2 linked regions of the Rattus norvegicus genome follow. The protein of the gene in region 2 interacts with the protein of the main gene of each other region in a biochemical or structural test. Links are inferred from orthologs where the notes say so. Each region holds a gene or a part of one and is shown on either strand. Other genes may lie near its edges.

Region 1 (9,888 bases), on a different chromosome or scaffold from region 2:
AACCCTCCCTCATGCCAGCATGGGTGTAGCTGAGGTTACCTTTCTTCACCTGGGTTTGTTTCTTTACAGACAGAATCTCTCTATGGCTCTGGCTGTCCTGGAACTCCTCTGTAGCCAGGCTCGAACACACAGTGCTGGGTGGAATTAGCTAATGCTGCTATCGAAGCCTTTCATATCTTAAGCTCCTCCTCAGATTTAAAAGTCCAAAGTCATATTTATATTTTCTCTTTCCCTGTTTGATCACAAACTGATCTTAGAAACATAATTTTTATCAAAACCATAACAAGTTTTCACTTAGACGTCTTATTACATAGTGTATGCTAGGCGTTTTGCTGGGAGCCAATAAGGCTGATTTCACCGGTGCCTCCTGAGCTGCATTGGTAAAAGCAAAATATAACCTGATGTAGGATGTTGAAGCCCACCATGGGCCCCTTGAGGGCACAGTAACTTGTATGTTTCCTTCACGGGGGAGCCTGAGCAACTGGAAGGGAACTTTTCCCTTTAAAGAATAAATGTGCTCTGCCAAGAGTGACTGATGTGCTTGGGCCTAAACCACGTATGTGCTGAGAGGACCCTTGTAGGAAGTCCCACTGTTGATGCCCACTGCCTCCTGCTGACCATGTGTAAAAGCTGTGGGTCTGAAAGATCTCTCCACCCCTGAATACTGCTTCAGCTCCTGCTGCCTCCCAAGGAGAAGTGTACAACAGATAGAGTTCAGAGATACATACTTCTCTCTCTTTCTCCTTTCTCCTTCTTTCCTCTCTCCATCTCCCTTTAGTGCTGAGGATCAGACCTAGGGCCTTGCATGGGCTAGACATGCTCTCTGACCACAAAGCAATGTGTAACCCCATTCACAACATTATCCTTTCCACATTTTTCATAAATTAACAACATGTGAGAATTAAAAAATAACCAAATCCTATGCTCAAAACACTGTTTGCTGCTGTGGGGATTTGATGGCTTTGGAGCAGCAACCTGTGTAGTTTCCAGAGTTGGAAGAGGAAGAAAATGACTCAGAGGTGTCTCATCACTGCAGCAGCGTCAGCATGCTAGGCGCTCTGTGGGCGCTGCCAGGGAGCAGAGACTCCAGGACGGAAACAGATTTGATCAGTATGCATGAGCAGAGCCTGAGCATGGTGCTTCCTTTCTGATACTCAAAAGGGCTACTAAGAAATCAAGCTATGGCCAAGCCATGTGGTGCTTTAATCCTAGCAGTCAGGAGACAGAGGCCATGGTGGGTCTCTGTGAGTTCTGTACCAGCCTGGTTTACATAGTGAGGCCTTGTCTAACACCCCCTCCCCCAACAGAAAGGAAAAGAAAGTTTTACAAAACTATCCACTGACATAGTGTAATCCATCCCAAAAAGTGATACTAGCCAGGCAGTAGTGGTGCATACCTTTAATCTTGGGATTAAAGTACTTGGGAGGCAGAGGCAGGCAGATCTCTTTAAGTTTGAGGACAGCCAGGGTTACATGGAGAAACCCTTGTCTTGAAAAACAAAACAGAAGTGATACTAGACCTTCGATGAGACTGAAACCTTGCTGAGTCAACGCAGTTTGTGGGGAGGCAAGGCTCCATATGTAGTGTATGGTTTAGAGTATGAGAAAACTCTAGGTATGACGACGGGTGGCTGAAGGAAATAAATAGTCTCTGAGGGTCACTTCTTTACACAGTCTGTACCTGGCCCTAGCACCTGTTTTTCTTACCAGTGTCACTGAGCTTAACAAGTTGTTATAGACTGAGCTGTGAATGGGGGTGTTGGGCAATGAGAGTAGCCAGACTTTGATGGTTAATCCTGGTTGCCAACGTCATTCGACTGAGAGATATTTAGGAGATGAGTAAAGCTTGTCTTTGAGCATGTCTGTGATAGCATTTCCAGAAGTAATTTTTTATTGTATTTACTTTATTGTGTTTATATGTGTATGCATGTCCCAGCATACGTGTGGAGGTCAGAGGACAACTTTCAGGAGTTGGCTCTCTCCTTCCAGTCTTTAGGACCAGGAATTGAGCTCAGGTCATCAGGTTTGGAGGCAAGTGCCTTTACTGCTGAGCCATGTTGCTGACCCCAGAGACAGTTAAGTAGGGAGACATTCTTTGAATGTGGGTTATACCATACCTACCTTGCAGGTGGGAATGGGGACTGATGGGGAAAAAAGGGGCCAGGAGGAAGCCTAGTGCACACACAGGCTTTCTTGCTGTATGCTTTCTGTATCGTGATGGCACCAGTTTCATTCACTCCCTGCTGTGATGTTCTATCTTACTGTGGGCCCGCAATCCTTGCAACTGCCCAGTTGCCTTTGAAACTGTGATCCAAGATAAATCATTTCAAGGAACTATTTTTTTTGTCATAGCAAATAGTTTTTCATTAGTTTATGAGATATCGTTCCTGTCTCCACACTGTCTCTATAGCCAGAAACAATGGAAACAGTCCCTTTGAGGGACATAGGGTTCCACTTCTTTGTAAGCCAGTTGGTACCGTATCTCCTATGTGCTTTTGGGTGTGCTGTCACACACTGCAAAAGCAGCTGGCAGACAGCCCCTGAACTGTGGCTTGCAACTTTTTCCCTTGTCATCTGGACTGTGTTCTGCTGTGTTCTCTGTCTGACCTGTGTTTGGGACATACATTCAAATAATAGCAACCAGTGCCTGCCAGTTTACATACAGTACTTAGCCAACAAGTAGTGTTTTGGAAACCCACTCATTGACTCAGACGTTCTTTCTTTGTTAATAGCTCAAGGACTGACAAGTGCTGGAAGTGTGAACCAGGGGTCAGTCAGTATCTTACGTACTGTATGGTCATGCAAGCAAAGGCTGCCTAGGTTTTTGGGAAAAGGTTGTCCCTAGAGTTGCACTGTGAAGTATTGTTCATCCACTCCACTAATCTTGTGTTTGATAATTCTTTACTTGACACCAGGCACGTAGAAAATAAAACTGTCCTCATGGAGAATGTTAGAAAATGGAGAATATAAATAGTATATATTTAGATATATGTGTTTTAATTTAAAGCAGCAAACAGTAGTTGGGAGAGGGGGTGTCGTGTCGTAGGTTACAGTGGCTGGGATGAAACATCATGACCCAAAGCATCTTGAGGAGGGAGAGTTCATTTGGCCTACATATCCAAGTAACAGTTCATTGAGAGAAGCCAAAGAGGGGCTGGGGCTGAAGCTATGGGAGATTGCTATTTCCTGGACTGTTCCTTGTGGCTTGCTTGGCCTCCTTTCTTATAGAAATCTCAGGCAGGGGTGGCACTACACACAGACGGCCGGGCCCTCTTCCATCAATCGCTAATTAAGAAGATGGCCTACAGACTTACAGCCCGATCTTACAGGGATATTTTCTCAATTGAGGCTCCCTCCTCTCTCATGACTTTTAGCTTTCGTCAAGTTGACATAAAACTATCCAACACAGGGTGCTCCTTAAATAAAGTGGTTCCTAGCTGGCAGTGGTGGCACACACTTTTAATCTCAGTACCCAGGTGGCAGAGGCCAACAGATCTCTGAGTTAGGGACCATCCTGGTCTACAGTGACTTCCAGGTCTGCCAGAACAACACAGAAACACTGACTCAAAAAGAAAAAGAAAAGGAGGAAGGGAAGGGGGAAAGGGAAGGAAGGGAATAGGTTCCTTCGCTGAGAAAGTAATGCTTAATCTTCACTTGTAGAACTCTTAAGTCTGTTTGGAGTATTAATCCCAACTGCTGATGCCAGTAATGGACCCAGCACTTGAGAGAGAACCGAGGTCAGCTAAGGACTCACAGGTTCCCGGGGCAGTCTGAATGAAGGCTGGGGCTCAGCTCCTGTTGGAGTGGCAGCAAAGGACAGTGTCTGCCTTGGTGTTTCTTCAGCTCACCTGTGCTTTCTCCTTCCTACAGCTTCAAGGATGACCTCTAGGAAGAAAGTGTTGCTGAAGGTCATCATCCTGGGAGACTCTGGGTAAGTGTTCCTCATGAATTTGACCTCACAAGATCGTCTTGGAGAGCCATCTCAAGACAGCTCCACATTCTACTCTGGGTCTGTCCCCTGTCCTTTACTACTGGATTTAGCAGAAATTTGATAGTCCTTTGGTGTGTATTTTTGCTCTTTTTTTCCCCTTTTAGTATGGGTGTGTGTGCATGTCCTGTGTGGTTGTGTTTTCTTTGAACTGTAACCCAGGGCATGTTAGGCATGCACTCTACTACAGCTGCATCACCATTTCTTTTAACACGCTTGGGTTTGGGTTTCTTTTGAGGGGAGAGGGGACTGAACCCAGTAAATGATAGTCACTTTTCATGGATTCTCTTCTGTACCATCTGGCCAGACCAGGAACGGTTGTTTTCATGATCTGTTGTTGCTATGCAGATGTGGGCTCTGCACACGTGTGCATTGCCTTTCTGCTGCTGTGCCTGACCAGGGCTTGTATGTGGAAAAGTCAAAGCCAGAGGACTGCATTTTGTTTCTAGATCTTCAACTCACCAAGTAATCAATTTTTCAGTTGCTATTCAGATTGCCTAGTAGGGACTGGAGAGATGGCTCAGCAGTTAAGAGCACTGACTGCTCTTCCAGAGGTCCTGAGTTCAATTCCCAGCAAGCACATGGTGGCTCACAACCATCTGTAATGGCATCTGATGCCCTCTTCTGGTGTGTCTGAAAACAGTGACAGTGTAATCACATGCATAAAATAAATAAATCTTTAAAAGATTGCCGAGTACCACCCCCCTTTTTTTATGTGGGGTAGGTTTGGGGCAAGAGATTTGAGATAGGGTCTTACCATGTAGCTCTGGTTGTCTTGAAATTCATTGTGTAGACCAGGCTGGCCTTGAGCTCATAGAGATCTGCCTGCCTCTGTCTCCCAATTGTTTTCTACTCCAGTTTTCACATTTGGTTTCTTAAATGACTCATGATGAAGTTGGCACAGTGTTACATACCTGCAACTTGGAAGGCTGAGATGGGAAAATCAGCTAAGCCTTGAAAGGTTGAAGGTAGCCTGGGCAGCATGACCTGTCTCTGAGAAAGAGGGCAATAGGAACAGTAATAAAGGCATTTATGTCCCTGTTTTCCAAAGTTTCTTTTCCTTAAACAGCCATGGATTTTCTGTTTGGCCTGTTTGAATTGCTTAAGGAACCCTTAAACAAGTATTTTCTTGTTTCCGAAATTGCATTCCAGTAGGAATAAGGTCTCCTGCCCAGTACTGTCAGAAATGACATACTGTCCTTAGATCTGTGCTGCCCAGACTTGTCTGAAAGGAGTCTGAAGATCTTTGAGGATTACACATCTTACTGCTACTCCTCTGTAAATTCTAATTGTGCTGCAGTACTGGAGACAGAACCCAAGGGCTCACATATTAGGCCAGTGGTCCTCAGGCACTGAGCTATACCCCTGACAAGCACTACTGCCTTAGGCTGTGTATAGGTCCAAGTCATCTGAATGTGAATTTGATTCTTGGTGGAAAGCCACACAGGGACAGGGAAAGCTTTAGCTCTGTCTTCAGGTCACATAACTTTGGCCCTACTCTTCCTGAACACTTGGTTGGTAAATTTTCTTGGTAAAAACAATTCCTTGGGAGGAACATTCTTTGAATTTTTATCAATTACATTTACTTTTTTATTATGTATGTGCACGTGCATGTGGGTATGAAGATCAGAAGACAGTGTGCAAGAATTGTTTTTCCTTCTGTGGGATCCTGGGCATTGAATTTAGGTCATCAAGCTGGGCAACAGGTGCCTTCCCCTTTGGCTGTCATACGGGCCCTGCTCTTGTTGGGTTTTGTGTGGACTTTATTTTTATAGAGACAAAAAAACACGTGGCTCGATGCCCTTGAACTCACTGTGCAGCCCAGGCTGGCGTCAGGCTTCCCATGCTGCTACCTCATCTCTCAAGCACTGGATTCCAGACCTGTGCTGCAACACCTGTCCCGGAACATTCTTTTCTGGCTGTGCACTGACAAAAAGCCTGCTGAAGCAAGTGGCTCCCTCCTGGTATTACTTGAGCGATGCATAAACACCTGAGATTACAGTGCTGTTTGGAGTGGCAGAGTGGTGATCTTCTCTCGGCTCCTTTTAGGAGTGTGTGTGTCTCCTTCTGGAAGGGAAGAGTTGCACTAGCTTCCCACCTGGGCTGCCCGTACTGAATCTTACAAATGGTGTTCTGTGTGTGATAGGTGTTTGCAGTTTTGTTTTGTACTGCTATGCTGGAATTGATGGGATTTTTTAAAATCACATGTATTTTTTTTTGCACGTGTGTATGGGTATTTATTTTGTGTTTGTTTATGTCTATGGGTTGTTGCACATGCTTGGTGCATGTGTAGAAGTCAGAGTATAATTTGCAGGAACCCTCACCCCCATTGCTCACCCCAGTGAATCCTGGGGACTGAACTCATGTCACTAGGCTTAGCAGTGCCTTTACCCACTATCTTACCTTGCTACTGCCGTGATGAGATCCAATGGCGAAGGCAACTTACAGAAAAGTTTATTATTGTAGGCTTACAATTGCAGAGGGAGAGCGCATGGTGACATGGTAGCATGGCACTGGAACAGTTGCTAAGAGCTTCTGTCTTGATTCAGAACCACTAGGCTGAGAGAAAGTAGAGAGAGTAGAGTGTGGAAACATGCACACAAATCTTTTGAAACCTTAAACCCCACCCTCTCCACAAGAGATTATGAGCCCGTGGGAGCCATTCTCATTCAGACTGCCACACCTCCTGAGCTATCCTGACAGCCCCTCCCCCTCCACTATGCCAGGAAAATACAAACCTAGTATGTGATGCTAGGGTGATTGTTGGTGCTCCCCGAATGGGAGCTGTTTCTCTCAATCATGACATCCTTTAATAAATGCTTTGTTTTTAAACTGTTGTGGTACTAGAAGTTAAACCCAGGCCTTGTCTGTGTCCGGCAAGCACTCTACCAACTGATCTATCTTCCTAGCCCAGTCAGGTTGCTTTTAAAATTGTAAATCTAAATTCCTCTCGGTCCCTTATTTGACTTAGACATGTGGGTTTTGTCCAATTTCAGTGTTGGAAAGACATCGCTCATGAACCAGTATGTGAATAAGAAGTTCAGTAACCAGTACAAAGCCACAATAGGAGCAGACTTTCTGACCAAGGAGGTGATGGTGGATGACAGACTTGTTACCATGCAGGTAAGCCTCTGCTCAGCCAGTAGCCAGACGGCTAGCTTACTGAACCTTTAAAATGGGGTGTGTGTGTGTGTGTGTGTGTGTGTGTGTGTGTGTGTGTGTGAGAGAGAGAGAGAGAGAGAGAGAGAGAGCGAGAGAGAGAGAGGAGAGGTGGGGTGGGGGTGTGTGTGTCTACAACTTTGTGGAGTTGGTTCTCTTTCTACCTTTATATGGGTTCTAGGGATTGAACACAGGCCATCAAGCTTTACCTGCTGAACTCTTGTAGACCCAGTTTATTACATCTAAACTGTCTGTCACATCTCCCTGCTTTTCAGACTGATTTATATTTGTGGAAAATGGATAATTGGTGCAGATAGGGTTGTTGGTTGGGAACACGGTGGACATGGAACCCTAGCCTCATGTAGGCTGAGGGCACATGCTTCCACCACTAAGCTACAACCCAATCCTAATTTTAAATTTATATTACAACTAGGGATTTAATTTAACAAGATTTATTGTCTTTTTCTTTTCCTTTTCTAAACAGCAAATTATAGGTCCCTTCTATGTTCTAAAAGTCTTCATTTTTATTTTCTTTTGGAGGGGTTGGTATCTGTGTATCCATGACTGAACTCATAAAGATGCCCTGGGATGCTGGGATTAAAGTCATAAGCCATCCTGTAGCTTATCTTAGTGTCTTTGTCCAGTGCTTTAGCTCAGAAATTTTTCTGGGTTTTCCTAAGTTCTTACAGCATATAGTAAGGTATATTTAACTATTTAATTGTTGGCTAACCTAAATTGATGACTCAGTGATTAAAAGCACGAGCTGCTCTTTAGAGAGGACTCAGCTTCAGTTCTCAGCACTGTCCACAACTTCAGTGCTAAGGGAGCTGCCCTCTAGGCAAATTGGTGCACAAGTGCAGGCAAACTCATAAATAAAAACTTTTATAAAGTTGAGTTCTGTTCAGCTCATCCATCCATCCATCCATCTGTTTCTTAGACAGGATCTTACTTTGTAGCCCTGGCTGTCATTGAACCTAGAAGTAATCTCTTTACTGCTAGGATTAAATGTGTACACTATCTTAGCCAGCTTTTACCTTGTTTTGAGACAGGGTCTTTGTTCTTGCTTTTCCACTACCTATACAAAGCATACATATAACTAAAACAAAAACAAGTGTGGGGCCGGAGAGATGGCTCCATGGATAAAGAAAGTCCTTGCTATGCAAAATGTGAGAGTTCATGCTCAAATTTCTAGAACCCATGTAAAACCAGAGATACCAGAGGAGCATCTATCCAGCCAGCACTACAGTAGGAAATAGGAGACAGATAGGCAATCACTGTAAGGTATGAACCATTTTAGGATGGAGGTAATGTGAGCCAGCCTCTTCCCAGCCCAACTACACATATGCACATAGATCTGAAGATATTCAAAATACCTGAGTGAAAGTTAAGGACACCAAATTTGAGAAAAAGAAATTTCTGGAACAAAGCGGAAAGTAAAACTGTGATAGGCTCAGAGGCTCCTGCCATGGGATGGGATGGGATTGGATTTTAAGTTTTAGCTTTGAAAGGACTGGAGATGTACACTGCCCATGTGTGGGGCCAGAGCTGAGACGCACCTGTACTCCCCACCTCATCCCCAGCACCCCCCGTACACCACATGTCCAGTCCCCACAAAGAGTATAAAAACAGGACGGGGAGACAGGCCAAAGATGGAGCAATACTTGTGGGACTTGGGGGTTTGAGATTGCCTCATTGTCCACCTGTCCACATGGGTGGTGGTTCCTTTGTGTGTTTGCAGGATGGGAAATTTGGAATTGAACCTAGGGTCTCTTAAGTGCTAGTAGACAAATGCTCTGCTGTTGGTCTTTGTCCCCAGATCTTTTAAAACTAGTGTCTTAGGACAGGGTATCATTTAGATGCCCAGGCACTGACCGTAAACTTGCAAAGCCTCCCCAGGAGCTGAAATTAAAGGTTTGTGTGCCCAGTGCAACTTGATGTGTATAGAATTTAAGTTTATACTCTTCAAAGGTAGGACACTCTGTCTCACAGAATTTAACAGAAACACATGCCATTCTTGACAAAAACCAAGATTACTCTGTGGGACACTTAAAATTGGAGTGAGAGATATATATGCTCCTGGCCATTTGAGGAAATCAAGACCTTCACAGTGATATAGTTTCTTAAAACAGGAATAGAAACCAGTATGGAAAAAGCTGCTATAAAAATGAAGATATGGAAAATTTAGAACTTAAAAAAACTGAAAAAAAAACATCACAGTAAGTGAAAGGCACTGTTAAACTCTAGAAGCGTGGGTAAGCTGAGGGGTTGGGCAAGGGGTCAGAGAGAACTGGAGCCTGGCTGGGTGCAGTGCCGTACACCATTAATCCCAGCATTCGGGAGGCAGGGCAGGTGGGCTTCTGTCGGTCCTGTGAGCCTCTGTGAGGCTAGCCTGGTCTACACAGGAAAAATAGCCAGAGCAACATAGTAAGACAGCTTAACAAAAGGGAACCCAAGACTGCAGGAAACAGAATGACAGCCCCAAGAGTCCCCAGAAAGAATGTGACTTGGAGGAAGGGTGGCGAGGCTGGTGTTTGGTGTTCTTCACAGCACTGCGGCGATCAGGTGAAGCGCAGGAGCTGCACAGACCTGCACTGTCAGTGCACCCAGCACGGGGTTGAGAACTGAGGTTTCGCCACACTCACTGCTGCAGTGCATCCCCACAGCCAGCGTCTGATGAGCCACACTGGAGACCCATGGCACAGAAGGATCCAGGAGAAAGCGGGAGGAGGTGGCAGCTTCTGA
Region 2 (11,167 bases):
TGGAGGATATGGTGCTTCTTTTCACTTAAAAAAAATTCAACAATCTCAATTCAGTATCTCAATTCTAGTTGTCAATAACTTGTCTAACCTATACAACGTAGGTCAAAATTGGCAAAATCTAGGGTTTTACACTTACTTGAGGTGAGATAATATTTACTCCAGAACTGGTAGTAGTAAGAAACCATTTATTATACCAAATTGATATGGACAAGCATGTATTGAAAAACACTAGTGGGGGGGATAGATGCTAGAAAATCAAGCCAGCCTAAGTGCTTTGTAAAATCTAGTTTGAGATGAAATAAAGTAAGTTGCCTCTGTTTCCTCAACTATTCGTAATCTGTTTAGGGTTTGCTTTGGTTTGTGTTTTGAGAGATTGCTGTTTGTTTTGCTGATGTTTTCCATATCTGCCTCAGTATGAAAACATGTCAACTCTTAAAATCATGCTCCGATAAATCACTAACTGTGGCAAATTATTGTCTCTTTGAATACTGTCCTTTAAATTATTAGAAAAACAAAAAGCAAATCTTTAGAAAAGCATCCTTATTCTACTAACAACAACTACATGTCTCCCGAATTCCCAATCTTCTACACTACAGATTATACACAGGGCATAGATAGACAGACATTAGCTCTAAGGCTTTATACACACAGCAGGAACAGCCTAACTTTTCAGTTCTCCCTGAAACTGAATGGCAGATGATTTCACATGAGTTACAGGTCAATTATATGGAATCATAATTGTTTCTGTGCATTGGGATTTTATGTTAAACACGAGGATGTGAGGTTGAGCAAGCACATTTGATTTTAATTGCTGTAGCCTGAGTTATCCAAAACATCATGAGAACACTGGAGAAAATGAGAAAATGACAAGCAGCACGGGAGATGAAAACGATGCTGCCCAGGGAACTTTGGTAACAGATGCGGCTCTCTCTGAGGGACTGGCTCAAATTTATGATTTACAGAGCAGCTCAGAGAATCCTCGGAATTAAATAAATCCTCCTTACTTTGTTAGGTCTCGAAAGAAGAAAAGATGACTTTCCTACCAAAAAAAAAGAAAGAAAGAAAGAAAGAAAGAAAGAAAGAAAGAAAGAAAGAAAGAAAGCTCAAAGAAGTACAAATTAAAACAGCAAGATCTGTAGGCGTTCTTTACCTCCTACCTCTTAGCAATGAAAAAGCACTTCACACTATGTTCTCAGTTAAAATGAATGATAAATCTATTTAAAACAGATGATAAATAATTCAAACTGGTGAAGCAAACTCAAAACTAAAAAATAAAAAAGGAATATCTATAAACTACCAGATAAAAAATCTGATTTAGCAAAAAGTGTTAAAAATCAAAGGTCTTTCTAAGCAAGCAGCTAATGGGAAGAGGAAGATAATGAACCTTACATTACCATCCTTCCAGGACTCTCCATGAAAATCATGAGCTCTTCCTTGATGTCCTTCAGGCAATACTAATGATAATAAAAGCACTTCACTATGGCTTTCAGGCCATAAAAAAAAATCACCTATATTATGTAAGCATTTTATAGGAAGTATTTCTTCAATATTTAACACAGCTCAATGAAATTCATCTTATTTAGAAATAAGGTGAAACTTAAGAACAGCTAAGGGTGTACCTAATGGGGCACACAAAGCATAGGTGGGATTCAAATTCTATCATCACCTTATCACACTGCTCAAATGAGATACATGCATGTAAAAGTATGCGTAATATATGGGAGGTGTCTTAGTTAGGGTTTTACTGCTCTAAAGAGGCACCATGATCAAGGCAAGTCTTATAAAGGGCAACATTTAATTAGAGCTGGCTTACAGGATTCAGTCCATTATCACGAAGGCAGGAACATGGCAGTGTCTAGGCAGGCATGGTACAAGACGAGCTGAGATTTCTACACCTTCATCTAAAAGCTGCTAGAAGCCTTGCTCCCAGGCGGCTAAGCCAAGGGTCTTAAAGCTACACTTCCTCCAACAAGGCTACACCTATTCCAAGGCCATACCTCCAAATAGTGCCACTCCCTGGGGTAAACATATTCAAACCACTACAGAAGGTCTAACACTGATGAATCTAAAGGACTTTTGAAATACTACTTTCAATTTTATTGACTATTAAGTTGCTTACCATTCTATAGGCATTATTTTTTGTGTATAAAGATATTTTATTATATGTATTTTATCATTTATTATATGTATTATGATAAATTGAGTAATTTAAGGGCTAGCATCCATTTCGTGAATTACAGAGAAGTGCCAACTTGCTTTTTAAAAAAGAAAGCCACTCTCAACAACAGGTATAAGAATGCAGATATAGGGAAGGATTATGTGTCCATTGTGATAAGAGAAGCACACACAAACATGCTAAGATATAAATATTGTAAGTCACTTGTACTGAGCCTCACTTCCAGACAATTTAGCAAATATCAGTTTTTACACCACTTCCTACAGCATTACTATCCTCCAAGGTTTAGAAACCATACCCTACTGCTATCTGAAATATTAAAATCCTTGAATGAGCAGCCAGCCAAAATTAACATCAGTGCTGCAATTTGAAACATCAAGAATGGGACTGTACTATTTACATGAACATTCCTAAAAAGGCAGCTTACCATTTAAATATATATATTTACCTGCACACAATGGTAAATCCTTTAGAGAAGCCAGCTCTTTAAAAAAAAAAAAACAATGAATAGGGCTGGGGATGTAGCTCAGTACAGGACTTGAAGAGCATATGCAAAGGCTGAGGTTCAAGGACCACCAGGACAAGACTCGAGGGAGGGAGTGGAAAAAGAACAGATCTAACTTCTTTAAAGAAATACCTATGAAATTAAATAAGCTAGCTTACAAAGTATCTTAGAGGAGGAACTTCTACCCAAAGATAAAGCAGTATAGTTAAGAAAGAATAGCATGCAGACTAAATTCCTACATGGTATTCTGAAAACATAAATAACCAATGACATGAAAAATGTCCATGGTTCTAAGAAAAATTGTGGAATTTTAACTCTGAGGAAAGCCAAAAAGTTCCTAAGAAAAAACAATATGTTAAATATTACAACCACAATAGGAGTACGTACTTGATGGCAGTAAAGTATTACAAGTATTGATTGTGTGTGTGTGTGTGTGTGTGTGTGTGTGTGTGTGTGTGTGTGTTTACACTAAACAATGTCAAGGTATTATGCCACTTCATGTATTTCCCTTTCTTATATAGATAGAAACTGCCAATCACTTGTACATCTAATAGCACAACCCAAACATATTCTTGGTAACAGTTTATGCCTCCGAATGATGTGGTTATAGTATATTCTAAGCAGCTAGAATTCTTTCTAAAATAACAATATATTCCAAGTGAAGAGCTGAAGAATGTCCCTATATATGACATATGTCAATATTATCATATAATCCTTATAACTTAGATTTCTTCTGCACTTTTAACTTCTTGGCTTTGCTGGAGATTATACAAGTTACCAGAAAAGTCACCTTTAGGACCTGTAACTAATGATAACTTTTCCACACACCCCAAAATTGTCATGAAAATTACACTTTAAATGCCAAACTCTTCTGAAATGACATATGTACCAAAGCCAAAGATCACATTCTAAGAATTTGTGTCCATTTTCTTCCCCACCAAGATTCCAATTGGTTTTCCCTCTTTAATCTTTTTTTTAATCTTTCCCCCCACAATTCAAGTACTGTATCTTAATTCTGTTCCTTTAGGTATTCTGATATAATTTTCCCATATCTTGAAACTATGACCTTAAAGGAAACTTTAATCCATGCCATGCAAAAAGTAAAGATGCACATTATTTAAGGTTGATAAACTTTTAAAGCATTCTTAGATGATGCTACATGATGAAGCAATTGTCTTCTGATGACAGTTTAACTAAACAGTTGTTAAAAGGGAGCTACAACGCACAGCTCTTTCTTATAATGACATGCTTCATTATGCTTTTGATAACAGAACCCAAGTTATAAAACACTGCTTTACCTACAAATTTCCTAAGTGCAAATTTAATACAGTCAACACATTTAAAGTCTACCCTTAGCAATGTATTTGAGAAGGAAATCACAATGTTTCAATAACGAAGCCAATTAAAAGCAATGATTGAAATCTTAAGAATGATTTTATTTAAAAAATGACTTTCAACAAATGTTTTCACTTTTAATGTATCTAAAAGAATTAAAATAGCTAAGAAAAATAACACATCACCCAAATAAATACAGAGACTCCAAGTATAATTTAAAAAAGACTTATTCTAAAATGGATGGCGTTTTCGGTTTTAGGCAGGCACACTGGGGAAACTGAACGTTCTACTTCATCTTTCAAGCTCTCCTTTAACATCTGCTCATTCCAGGAAGCACCAGGTTAGCTGCTCAGCGGTTATCTTCAGGCTGGGAGCAAACACACCCCCACTGTTCTGAGAACAACTTACCCAGGTACATCTAGAATATGAGAATCTGTGTTCTGGATAATACCTTAAAGGCTATCTGAGTTACCTTCCTTATATTCAAAATGGTAGAAATTGAACCGCTTGAGACCCTCCCATTGCATAATCTAGAGCAGGTTTCCCTGGTATTTGTGATAACATAGTTCAAATTTGAGTCAAAAACAAAACAAAACAAAAAACAAACAAAAACCCCTGAATTCCATTTCTTGGATGGTATTAGCCACTGGACATTTACTAGCTGTGTGATTTTGGCAAGTTAGACTTCCAAGCTGCTTCTTTTCTTTTGTGTACTGAAAAGGATACCAATTTTACCAAGGTTTTTGACCGGATTATATGAAGTGCTTAAGTTCATTGATTAGGGAACGGTAAGTATTAGAAAATGGGTTGCTATCACTTTTACTCTAAACCTGAAAATATAGCTGTTCTTACTGTTTGGTAAGAAAGCAAACAGAATTCATTAACACAACAGACAAGATCCCAATGACCAAAGCTTCTATGGCCTAGCATATTCTAAGACAGTAGAATCCGCCCCCCTCCCCAAACTATCTCTTTTATCCTATGCAAACTTACAGTTAAGATAAGAATAGCTAATTGTCGCCAAGCATTATAGGATTAACTAGTCAACTAGAAGCTGAAAAGGATTTCTGGCTCCACCCAAAACATGGAGAACAAATGATGGAAGAGCTAGGGGAAGCTGAGCTCAGACACGGGTTGTGGAACACTGGAGCTTACTCTCAGCACATCTAGTTGTGGTGTGTTAATAGGTGACAGAAAACAAGATGCTTTCTGCATTATGAACTAGGATGCTTTAAACTTCGTAATGCAGGAACCTCAAGAAAAAAAAAATACTTAACTACTCAACACAACAGGGAAGAGTACTTTTTCTTTCCTTTAGTAAAAATACACACGTGTAACGACTGAGTATCATTTTTATAAAACTGCAAATTAGGCTGCATCTGAGCTGCAATGTACCCTAGCTCATGTAAGTATATGGGGGCGTGCGGGGGGAGGGGGGCGTTCTATGAAATGGCGACCTGAAACGATGGGGAATATAACCTTGAAATCAACAAGGAGGGAAGGTGGCAATTATTTGTGCCAACGGCGTCTCCATTGATCAAATCCCGATCCTCCATTGTCATGACACTGCAAACCCACCTTCCTCTAAGGAAATTAACAGGAATCACCACAGCAACCAACCTCAGCAATCGGCATCGACCAGATCGACCCCTACTCAAATGGCGCAAAACACCGCGGGTCCAAGCCCCTCCCTGGAGCTGCCAAGTCCCGCGCTGACTCCAGACTACCTCACTTCCTTTCTGTCCTCCCTCCCAGGCTCGACCCCCGCCGTTTCTTGCCAACCCTCACCACTGACAGAGAAAATAAAAAGCGAGAATTATTTTCTATATTTTGTCCAGCGAAAATCAGGGCCACACATACCCGTCCCTATTACGATCACATCAAAGTCCGAAGGGAGATTATCCGCCATCTTGACAGGAAACGTGTCATGTGACTGTAGTTTGTAGCTGTGAATTTCTAAGGCACTACCTAGGTAGAAAGCGGAAGGAAAAACAGTGCATTCTGGGTGTTGTAGTTTTAGGGTAGCGGGTGCAGGTAGGCGACAACAGAGTAGCATTAAAATGTTAATGCAAATGGTAAAAGCTAGATTTATTTCACAGACTTCAGTGATATACCTTACTTATCCTAGCAGTTTGATATGGAAATGAAACGTAATTATTCGACTCCTCAAGCAAGGATGAATGAGGAAAGTTTGTATACCCCTTTGACAATTACCAAGCAAAAATTGATCAGAGATGCTCAGGCAGTAGTGAAATTCAAAGGGGCTCACTTTGAACAAATGAATCATTCAAGCCAGGAAAACTGTTTCCCCTAGCATGTCTGTATTTGCATTTTTAGAACCTGAGGAATCTCTTTTCACTTTATACCAATACTGTCTTTTTGTCTCTGTGCCTTCCCAGAGAGAATAGAACCAAACAAAAAACTCTTTGCCTAGTTTCCACAGAATAGAATTCCTCACAGAATTTCAAATTGCCGCCTAGCAAAGTAAGTTACAACATTAACTTTGCTTTAGAGATGGCAGTGAGAGTGGGGGATGGGGGAGTGTGAAAGAGTATTAAAGAATAGTAGATGGTTTATAAATCTTTTGTTTCAGAATCTGATTTTCTGCCAAAATAAGGAGAACGCATACAAGTTTCTCCTGCAATGTTGAGGAGAAATGATTAACATTAAATAGATTTAATATGGAAGTGGGCATATTTGATAAGGGAGCTTAAGACTGTCTATGTCAAGCAGTTAATATAACTCTCATGAGTATTTTCAAGGTCTGTCAGCTCACACTCTACCTTATTTAAAACACATTTGTCTGAAAATAGTAAAGCAAAAATAGGCAATGGGGTACACTGTAGTGAGTAAAGTACTTTTTAATCCAAGGAATCATTTTTATAGCTATTTTTCGAGAGTTTCAAAATAACAATCCTTTATACTATCTACAGTCTCAGCTACTTATCATTCTCCATACATTGTTTCCTTCTTAATCTCTATGACCTCCCCACATTAGCTCTTCCTTCAACAATGAATAATCTTCTCAACCTCTAGGTAACATGCTTAATAACAAATAAGGGATACACTTAATATTATTAAAGCATTAAGTGATGTATGTGTTTCTAAAGAACACATGATTCCATGTAATTATGCACAACTTTACGTATCAGTTAAAAATAATAAAATAAAGGGGAAGCTACAAATGTACTTCAATGTTTAAGATCACAGACTGCTCTACTACAGGACCAGATTCTATTCCTATGCTCCCTATGCTTGTATGGTAGCTCACAACCTTGTATAACTCTAATTCCAAGGGAATTCTTTTCTGGCCTCCTGAGGCACCATATGCACATAGTACAGAGACAAACACACAGACCCACACATTAAAAAAACAAACTTGTGAAATAATAAGCATAATAAAAGAAAAGCAAAAAGAAACCATTGGAAGAAAAGTAATCAAATTTTTAAGAGATTCATTTAGGCCAGCCTAGAATGCTAAGCTTTCCAAGTATTGATAATAATATGTACAGCTAGCAAGATAGGTTTAGTAATATTGTAAGATTTAGTTCAGCTTCTGTTTTATCTTTTCCTCCTTCCCTATATTATACTACTTCCACTTTATCATATCCTGCTACATTGCTCTAAAAGTTCATGTATGTTGACTCCTATATAGTACTCATCACCCACACACACATACAAAATATACATCCAGACGTAACATATTATAAAATGTAAACTTTGGCATGTCAAATGCCATTTTTACCCAATGCACTTAATCTAAACTTGTTTTTACAGTAACAATTCAACAAATATTTCCTGAACTGAAATTAATCGTGACTTCTTTGACAGATAGTGAGGTAATGACAAACTATATCATTTGACCTTGATATCTACCTGTCACTTTAAAAGTCACTTTTATTTGCCTTATGTAATTGTCACCTCAGAGGCTTACTGCTCAATGAACACACCCTTTCTATTCTTTCTGAATATGGCTGGCTGGTTCAACTCAGCTGTTTTGGCTCAAACTCCTCTCCAATTTGGCTGGTTCAACTTGGCTTCTCTCAACTTCTCAGTTGCTTGGCCTCAAACTAACTCTGGCAATTTGTTCTAAGCTTTCTGGATACATATTCACTGGCTTCAACTGCCTTGCTGATCTGCAATGAATTGCAGGAACTCACAAAAGAACTCAATTGACTAAACTGAACTCATCTAAATTTCCTGTGCTGCCATTAAATAGCTTCTCTTTCCTGTACTGTTCTCATGAGAGTTAGATGTATCCTATTTCTGACTCATTCTGTCAAATCTTTGTCTGATTCATCATGTTATCTGGCCCTTAATTAGATAGACATCACTTTCAACCATAGTTGCTTCATTCTACAAACTAATTTTACCTTAAAGTTGTATACTAAGTATATGTCTGTACTGGCTGGTTTTGTGTGTCAACTTGACACAAGCTGTAGTCTTGGGTTCTATAAGAAAGCAAGCTAAGCAAGCCAGGGGAAGCAAGCCAGTAAGTAACATCTCTCCATGGCCTCTGCATCAGCTCCTGCTTCCTGACCTGCTTGAGTCCCGGTCCTGACTTCCTTTGGTGATGAACAGCAAGTGGAAGTGTAAGCTGAACAAACCCTTTCCTCCCCAGCTTGCTTCTTGGTCATTATGTTTGTGCAGGAATAGAAACCCTAAGAAAATGTCTGTATTCCAGCCAGACGGATTAAACATGTGTGGCACGTCTGCATTCCAGTCAGATCACACAGACCTAAATCTTTGGATGCGATCCCTTTTCAGAGCAGCCATGTTGATTGATTAAAATTCCTCTACATGCCACAATTAAGTGCCTTAATTTTTTTAAGATGTTTGATAATTTTTTTATTTTTAAAAGTACCATGAGAACTGTTTTAAAAATAAATTTTAATAGATATGCTTTCTGCACTTTTGTACACTTTGGTACAATAATTATCAATATTGTAGTTTTCTTAATTTTGTTTATGGATTACCATGTTATGCCACAGCATTCTCTTGTGGTATGATTCAATAAGGAATCTCTTGCAAAATATATTCCTTGAAAGGTACAACATATTATTCACTAAGTCACTACATTATTTGACTTGCTATGACAAAAAAGCTTTGAGTATTATCAGAACTGAAATAGATGTTATCTATGAAGTGCCCAATATACCAATAAAAATGTAAACTAAAACAGCCCAAAGAAAATACAGGAATCTTTCCAAAATCTCTAGCAGTGGGAAACACAATAAGATAGAATACAAACAAACAACAAAATATGGGTATACATTCAAGGATGCACATAGTACGATCACATTATGTTTTAAAAATATGAATAACTTATTATGACTCATAAAATTTCCTTATAAACACAGTGTGAAAAATAAAAGTCACTAATAAATTTAGTTATTCTTTAATAATCATGAATCTTCTAGTAAGTGAATGGGTTATAATAAAATGCTGAGATATGAACAAATAACAGACAAATGTCCTGTCTTTGGAAGGTTTATGTGTAATTCTGCTGAATTTCTAGTCTGTCTTGCCCCATATTTGAAGTTTTATTTCCCTTGAAGATCAAAGCCTGGTATTCATGAAGAAAATATTACCAACATGTTTAGCTGTATTTTTCTGAGTATATGATATTTTTATAAATCTATCATACATTAAAAATTGTCACTGTATTAAAATATAAATCTTCTTTGTGAAGAAATGTTACAATGTCTTTTAAAATAAACATTGTTTATATTTTATGTAAATAAATAATACAGGACTTTACAATGTCAGGAAATGGCATAAAACAAAACAACTAGAAATTGTTGGCTGTTCTTCCAAGGACATCTATTTTTGAGAGTTGAAATATTTTGATAAGTCATAGTAGAATGAATTGTATCTAAGAAATAAGCACCTATTAAATAATCATAACACCAATTTTATTCCTAAAGGTTTTCTGAGTTGAAAACAATAATTTCTTATTATATATTGCGTTTAAAAGTACATTTTACTATGAAAAGATTAAGTTTCTACAAAGGTTTTTTTCTCTCTAGGATCTTTCTTCTCAATTCTAGAACTATATTTAACTCCTTATTTTCTTTTCCGAATGTCCACTACTGTGCTCCAAAATATTCCAATTACATTCCTAAAATGTCTCTTCATATGATATTCACTATCTTAGATACAGTTCCACCTTCTACTCACTTAAATCAAAATTGCAAAAATCACCCTGAGCTCATGCTTTCCTTCTTCTCTTAAACTATATCAATACTCATACCAGATTTGTCTTTAAAATATACTGCAACAGTGTCCAGTAGTTTACTATACCAGACATTAGTTCCATCTTGTGGAGTGTGCCTAAATCCAATCAGAAAGTGGCTAGTCACTCCCACAACATTCATGTCACTATTGCACTGCCCCCCATATCTTGACAAGATGCTCAGTATTGCAGCTCATAGGGTTCACAGCAGGATAAGTTCTTTTGGGTTTTCTTTGTTTATTTGTTTTTGTTTGTTTGTTTTATGGCTGTTTCTCCTCTGGTAGAATAAATATTCCTTAAGCACTGTGAAACCTATTCAGAGGAAATAAAGCTACCATGTCGATATCAGCTTTATTTCTCTGTGTCCAATAACTAAAGATGGGACAAAGCCTTAGTGGAGAACCCAATTCCATTGTCATACTAAATGACATAGTATTAAACTGCCCCACCTGGGGATCCAGTTCATATACATACAGACACCAAACCCAGACACTATTGCTGATGCCAAGAAGGGCATGCTGACAGGAGCCTGATATAGCTGGCTCCTGAAAAGATCAGCCAGAGCATGACAAATACAGAAGTGAATGCTCACAGTCAACCATTGAACTGAGACTGGGGTCGCCACTGGAGGAGTTAGAGAAAGGATTGAAAGAGCTGAAGGGGTTTGCAACCCCATAAGAACAATGCCAACCAACCAGAGCTCCCAGGAACTAAACCATCATCCAAAGAGTACACATGAACAGATCCATGGCTCCAGCTGCTTATGTACCAGAGGATGACCTTGTTGGGCACTAATGTGAGGAGAAGCCCTAGGTCCTGCCAAAGCTCGTCCACCCTCGCCCCAATGTAAGGGAATGTCAGGATGGGGAGGTGGGAAGGGATAGGTGGATGGGTGGGGAATCATCCTCATAGAAGG

The links. The genes of interacting proteins can lie anywhere in the genome.
Region 1: the proteins of Chm (region 2) and Rab7a are reported together in a solved structure, tested with the Homo sapiens proteins (2 studies listed by BioGRID, with this or other methods). The link is inferred for Rattus norvegicus from reciprocal best matches to the Homo sapiens genes CHM and RAB7A.

Annotation. Positions count from the first base shown.
Region 1 is NC_086022.1:122,030,506-122,040,393, reverse strand, and holds part of Rab7a (ras-related protein Rab-7a), read left to right. Parts: intron 1-3,869; 5' UTR 3,870-3,877; coding exon 3,878-3,930; intron 3,931-6,983; coding exon 6,984-7,110; intron 7,111-9,888.
Region 2 is NC_086039.1:82,548,267-82,559,433, forward strand, and holds the start of Chm (rab proteins geranylgeranyltransferase component A 1), read right to left. Parts: upstream 5,778-11,167; 5' UTR 5,595-5,777; intron 1-5,594. UniProt on the Homo sapiens protein: Substrate-binding subunit of the Rab geranylgeranyltransferase (GGTase) complex.